Linked DNA regions of Cricetulus griseus. The protein of the gene in region 1 purifies or fractionates together with the protein of each later gene. This does not show direct contact. Links are inferred from orthologs where the notes say so. Each region holds a gene or a part of one and is shown on either strand. Other genes may lie near its edges.

Region 1 (3,825 bases):
AAAAGAAAGCATTTAATTGTTCTTATAGTCCCAAAGGTTTAGAGTCCATGATGTTAAAGCGAAGGGATGGTGGCATGAACAACTGAGAGTTTGCATCTCAAACCACAGCAGAAGGCGGAGAGCACACTGGGAATTGCAGGAGTCTTTTGAAGCCTCAAAGTCCACCACCAGTGACACACCTCCTCCAATAAAGCCACACTTCCTAATCCTTCACAAACAGTTCCACCAACACCAGTCTGTTAGGGCCATTCCTATTCAAACCACCACATGGACTCAGGAGGATCAGGAGTTCAAGGTCATCCTTGGATATATAATGAGTTCAAGGCCAGCCTGGGACACATGAGATCCTGTCTCTAATGACAACAAGTAACAGTTGTATGGTATCAGTTTTTACTGCACAAACGAAACATAAAAACCATTAAGTTATGAGATGTTCTGTTCATATCACCTCTCGTGATGGAAAAGTTCTTAGTGTATGTGAGAGGGACGCAGGTTCTCTTTCATGGTGGTTTATGCAAGCTTCCAATTTCTGTCACCCAGGAAGAATACGTTCAGGAGGGAATAAGATGGACGCCCATTGAATACTTCAATAATAAAATTGTGTGTGACCTCATAGAGAGCAAAGTTGTAAGTACTAGCCCGTGGTTCCCCTCACTGGTCTACCCTTCAATGAGATTTCATCCTCTGTGCCTGGTGTCAATTGCTTTTCAGCTGACTAGGAAACTACCCTTGTACAGAATGTCAACAGTAACACTAGTAATGTGCAAATGTGCAGCAAGAAAATAAAATAATAGGCTTTTATTACCACAATAAATAAGGATGTGTATAACATGCCAACTTGCAAATGGAAGTTGTTCCTGAATTCTAGAAACTAGCTCTTGGTTATATGACATAGCAAATGGGGGGGGCATAAAAAGGGTCACACCTTAGCCCCATCATACACAGGAACATGAGTACACACATACACCAAACAAATAAATAAAGATAAAGCTCTCTAGAGAGCTAGCTAGCTTCTTGGAAATGAGTTTCCTTCATCTTTAGGTCTGAATGATAAAACCTTCTCTGGGAATGCTCAGTGCATCCTTCCTGGAAGGAACAGCTGATGATCAAGATGGTATCTGGGTCTTGGAGGCAGTCTCCTGGCTTAAGAAGTGACCCCATAGGTGTTCAGTATTTTGAGGGGTCAGTGACCTGGGCCTTGCCTTCTTGTTCCCACCAGCACCCTCCTGGAATCATGAGCATCCTGGATGACGTGTGTGCCACCATGCATGCTGTGGGTGAAGGTGCTGACCAGACACTGCTGCAGAAGCTCCAGATGCAGATCGGGAGCCATGAGCACTTCAACAGCTGGAACCAAGGCTTCATCATTCACCACTACGCCGGGAAGGTAAAGCCCGAGACCACAGTTCAGTGGGCCAGAATCCACCCATTTTAAAGGCTCTCCAGTTTGAGCCTTTAACGGTGGGATTTGTTTTCCTATGAACCAATAGAGACCCATGTTATTTATTCGTCCAACAAACAGGACCTTTAAAGAATTTGAAGAGTTAAAACAAAGCCCTGTCTACGGGGCTGCTTGCTTTTATAAAGCACAAATCTCCGTGGTGTGGATCGCAACTGCTGAAGCAATAGACTTTTGTCTTGACAGTTGCAATCACAAACTTGCATTCCTTTGCTTTCCCACGGGCACCGGGACTAACTTTAATGTTTTCCCTACAAAGTGAGTAACTAGGTGCCTGCAGGGTACACAACCATGTAAGGTCCTAACAGAATTTGGGGTCATGGCTCTCGGATGCTTCCTGGTCCTATGGAACTCCACAGATAAGATCTTTCCTCCCGGCTAGTCTCTTGTTCACCATGGTCCCTGAGCATCGAGTCCAGGGCAGATGGGCACAGCTCTGATGCGGCTTCTAAGAACGATTCACGACTCAGTTGACATACTTGATGAGTGAGAACGAGGGCTCTCTTTTTCTTCACATGGTCAGAACTTAGGAAAAATAACTTCATGTATTTCTCAGACATGCTTAGGGGGCCCACAGACAAATGGACATGGGTTCTTGAGAGCTGTAGTCTCACAGATCATCTGGGGAGCCAGATCTTCATCACCCACCATTAGGTCAGGGTCATCGAAGCCAGCTGACAGCTTTTATGTGACAACATAAGTGTGAAACCTCAAAGGCTGCAACTAGGAACGCCCACCTTCGATGAGGATAGCCGTGCCCACTTAAGGGTGCTTTTAACCAAAGAAATGTGTAGGATAAAAGTTGATTGCTTTCTGTTCTTGGCCAGGTTTCCTATGACATGGATGGCTTCTGTGAAAGGAACCGGGACGTGCTTTTCATGGACCTGATTGAGCTCATGCAGAGCAGTGAGCTGTAAGAAAGAACCCTTTATCTGCTTTATCTGGCATGCAGTATACTTGGGTTGTGGTTATTATTGTTTTGTTTTGAAGTGTATGGGTGTTTGTCTGCTTGTATATCTGTGTACCATGTATGCCTGGTACACACAGAAGACAGAAGAGGGCCTCAGATCCCCTGGAACTGGAGTTATAGATGGTCTGTGAGCTACCACGTGGGTGCTAGGAATTGAACCCAGGTCCTCCAGAAGAGCAGCCAATGCTCTTAACCTCTCCAGCCCCATGTCATCACAAACCAGTGATGGTATTGTTTCAACGTGCAAACCAGAGTGATGTTAGAGTGCTTAGCATCGGCTCCTTTAGAACTGTTGAGTCTGGTTTATAACTTGACTATTGTTTTCTCAAAAGGGCTTCTCTTCTTTCATCTTTGTCTCTCCCTTCTGTCATTATGTTTCCTTCCCCCAAGTGCCCTCCGTATGTCTGGCTTCAACACCGTTAGAAGGGTGAAGCAGCCATATTGGTGCTGGCCTGGAATAGCTATTTCTGATCAGCAAGAATAGAACAATCTACTTCTATGATACTTTGCCCTTGGGACAAAACCAAGAGGATTTTCCATGCTGGCTCCATTTTTAAAGGTGGCTAATTACCCTGAATCACTGAAACAATTGGAGACTAAGAAGTCTAGGAGGAACTTTCCCCTACTTTTCAGGGAGGGAACCCTGTGGCTTTGTTCTTGATTCCTATTGTAATGTAAAGGGAAACTCACTTAACATCTGGAGCCCTTGATGTCCTGCAAATGTTGGAAAAGGGAGTCCTCACATTCCTTGCCATAGGAACATTCTTAGGTGGCACCACTCTTGACCTATCTACAAAAGGGACAGAGATGGCATCTACTTCAAGAGCCTGAAGAGGACCTAGGAGAAGCTATTGCTGCCAGCTCAAGCCTTTGTTGTCACTGAGAATTCTGCTGAGATCAACATCACCTCTAGGAACACTGGCCAGTGAGCTGCACTGATGTTTGGCTGCCACTGGAGCCACTCCAGTTGCTGGTTGCTTCATGCCTGGAACATTCACAAATGAGATTCAAGCAACCTTCAGAGAGCAATGGCTTCTAATGGTGGCTTAACCCAGGAATGGCCTTCAGCCCCTCACAGAGGCATCTTATGTCAACCTGGCTACCATAGCTCTGTGTAACACAGATTCTGTTCTGTGCTTTGGGGACATTACCATCCTGTGCAACAATGGGGAACTCACCTAGTGGGTCTGATGTAGATGCTGACCTGTAAGGTCTCAGTATGTGTGGCACCATCTCCCACGGGTGCCCACTGGAGGTCATGCGTAAGCTCTGCTTCTGCAGAGTCCCTGGGAAGATGGAGAAGGTGCTTTCTGAAAAGGTTTTGACCAAGGGAGAATGGACTTTGCCAGCTCCTGAGTCAGTGGTCTGAAGGCGTGGAAGTGCCCTCTGTGTCTGT
Region 2 (3,274 bases), on another chromosome or scaffold:
TGCCATGTTAGTTTTCTTCCCCCATCCCTGCCAGAGCAGCTCTTCTCATTGCTTGTTCCTCTTTCCTTTGGAATGCCACATGGTTCTGGAGCTTTTCTCTCAATTTGATTTACATGGGTTAAACATACTACTGTCTTCATCCAGTCCACTTTGTATTTTTATAATACTATTTTCCCTTTCTTTCACCATAGAACAAGCTGGGAGACACAGCTCTGCATGCAGCTGCCTGGAAGGGTTATGCAGACATTGTGCAGTTGCTACTGGCAAAAGGTAAAGTTTTTATTGAATTTATTTGGTTGTTTGCCTTGAAAAATAGCTCCTAGTGAAGGAGGCCATTTGAAATAGTAGGAAGGCTGAGTCTCCTCCTCCTCTACTCCGTCTATAGTACACTGTTATAACTGAGATGAAATTATTGGGGGTGCATTTATGGTACTTTTTACTGTGAATTAAGACCTTGATAAACTTTAGCTCCAAAGCTATACAGAGAGCCCCTGTCTCAAAAAAACCAAAAAAAAAAAAAAAAGACCTGATAAACTTTAAAAGTACATACAAATGTATTAATTTTAGAAGGAACTTGCTGTGCATATCTGTAGGACTGAAGGATTTTAGGAGGCCGGGGTTTTTTAGGACATCGTGTCCTGGGAAAATTGGGATGAAGTTGGTGAGGCTTGTGCTTGCTTGGGAGAGCCTTAATAGAGAGTAGAAATGAATGCTAAGCTGAGCCAGTGCTGAGGTGTTAATGAAGGATGCTTTGATCCCATTGCTTGACCTCGATAGCTTGTGGCTGACTCTGCATCCTGAACTCTCAAGCAAACCTTATTAAATCATAAATAATATATCACCACAGTGTGGTTCAGAGCAAACAGCTAAATCTGGGACTGCTCATCCATTTATCTGCTTGTCCCATAAATATTAACTGCTCTTACAGAGGGCTGGCCAGGCATGTCACTCAGGGACTTGGCCCAGAGGGCAATTCTGTGAAGCCTTTCTCCAAGCCACAAGTTATAGATTCTATCTTTAGGAATCTTTGGGAGCAGTGTTGTGGAATTTATGAGCATGGATGTTTTTGGATTAAGTGAGATGATGATGCAAACCCCTTACTGTGGGGAGTTGCTGGGTTTTCCTAAAGGTCATGCCGAAGGCTATGCTGTCCATTGTGGCAGACACGAGCTGTGTGCTGCTGAGCCACTTAATGTTTTCTTTTCATTCTAGTGAACACTTTAAGTGAACCTGTGAACAAGTTGTTGGGGGAATAGTGCTCATTATACTGTTAGAAATGATGGAAATCAGAAAGAACTGATTCCTGTCAGTAAAGCTGGGATGAAATAAGTTTTACAACATCCACAAAATGCAATACCTATAAATGTTCAGATACGTTGAGTTTTGTGCGTACCTTAACAAGAACGAACCATTATTTAAATACGGTTAAGTTAAAAGTGAAGTTATAAGGCTGGTGAGATGGCTGAGCAGGGAAAGGTGCCTGCCACAAGCCTGGGGACTTGAATTCAGTTCCTGGGACCCATATGGTAGAAGGAGAACATCAACTCTGGGCTTCTATGTGTAGCATGATACAGGTGCCCACAGACATACATACAAAGGGAATGGAATTTAAAAAAATTACATTACACAGCAGCACAAGTAGGTTGCTTTGTGTACATGTTCATATGAGTGCAGATCATTGGCAAACATAAGAGAGACAGCTGGGGCCCACTGGAAGAATGGTCACCTTCGAAGAGCTTAGTTCAGGGGAATCCCATCAGCACTGTTGAGCACGCCTCTGTATTTTTTGTTCCTCAACAATGCAAACAAACATCTCCATGGATTCTGATGTAAGTTTTGGCATAAAGACAAGGGGGAAGATGAATGGAAGAGGGCTTACAGGGACAATGAATTGGGGAACAATGAATTGCCTATGAGTTTTTATTGTTTTGCCATTCTTCTGATTGACATATGAATGCACCTGCATATAAGAAATATTAGTCCCCTGACATTCAACCCAATAGTGTTTTCTACAGGCCCTCATGAACTGAAGGAGAGGCAAAGGGTGCTAGATGGAAGCCCCAAAGCTTTCTGCTAAGAGCTGCATAACCTTTCAGGCCATGGTTGTTTATGGCTGTGTTTTAGGATTTACCCAGGACCTGTAATGGCCTCATTGAAAAGTCCACGTGCAATCCCTGGGAGCTGGGAAGGGAAGGGCAGCTTTAATGGCACTGTGGCAGGCTCTCTGATGAAGTGTGCCAGTCACATTAATTCTTAGCCAGAATTGTTCTCTAGCTTTGACAAAGCATTGGCTAGCGCATTCCAGTCTTCGAAGATACATGGTTTCCTTTTCTTGTGTTGGGAAGGTGCGAGGACAGACTTGAGAAACAATGAGAAGAAGCTGGCCTTGGACATGGCCACCAATGCAGCCTGTGCATCACTCCTGAAAAAGAAACAGGCAACAGGTATTTGTTTTAAGTCACTCTCCTTGCTTATGACCGAGACTTGCCATCTTTCTATTGCAAAGGTTTTTGTTTGTTTGTTTGTTTTGCTTATTTGTTTTTAAGATTTATTTATGGTCTGGAAGGATGACACAGAGGTTAAGAGCATTGGCAGCTCTTCCAGAGGTCCTGAGTTCAATTGTTAGCAACCACATGGTAGCTCACAGCCATCTGTAATAGGATCTGATGCTGTCTTTTGGCGTGCAGCAAACATGAAGATACAATACCATATATATAAAGTAAACAAATCTTTAAAAAAAATCTAAAAAAACGATTTATGTATTTTATATGTGTCTTAGTTAGATTTTCTATTGCTGTGAAGAGACACCATGATCAAGGCAACTTTTATAAGCCCAGATAAATAAATAAATAAATTAATTAATAAATAAATTAATAAATAAATGCAGGCAAAGCTTTGATGGAAGGGACAATGAGAGAGGAAGGGAGGGGTGAGTGTTGGTTGTGTGTGGTGCACTTGTGGCAACGAGAGAACAACTTTCAGGAGTTGGTTCTCTCCTTCTGCTGTGGGATTCGGGAGTTGAACTCAGATGTCAGGCTTGCACTTTCTACTCTCTGAGCCAACTCTCAGGCCCCACTATTGTCTTAGGTTTAATACCCCTCCCAAGAGGCTTACTTTTGCAATTGCTTTGCCTGGCTGCTCACCATTACAAGCCTTGGTGGTACTTTAGTGTCTACAGCTCAGCTGATCCATGTCTGTAGACTCAGAGTTTCCATTACAGAGGTGAAGGACATTTGGTTCCATGTATATCATTTGTTATCTCTTCCATAGATCT

The links.
Region 2: the proteins of Myo1e (region 1) and Ostf1 purify together in Homo sapiens (co-immunoprecipitation; 3 studies listed by BioGRID and IntAct, counting the BioPlex papers as one, with this or other methods). This does not show direct contact. The link is inferred for Cricetulus griseus from reciprocal best matches to the Homo sapiens genes MYO1E and OSTF1.

Annotation. Positions count from the first base shown.
Region 1 is NC_048597.1:181,889,056-181,892,880, forward strand, and holds part of Myo1e (unconventional myosin-Ie), read left to right. Parts: intron 1-540; coding exon 541-627; intron 628-1,219; coding exon 1,220-1,387; intron 1,388-2,286; coding exon 2,287-2,372; intron 2,373-3,825. UniProt on the Homo sapiens protein: Actin-based motor molecule with ATPase activity. Unconventional myosins serve in intracellular movements. Their highly divergent tails bind to membranous compartments, which are then moved relative to actin filaments.
Region 2 is NC_048596.1:42,591,015-42,594,288, forward strand, and holds part of Ostf1 (osteoclast-stimulating factor 1), read left to right. Parts: intron 1-191; coding exon 192-270; intron 271-2,345; coding exon 2,346-2,444; intron 2,445-3,274.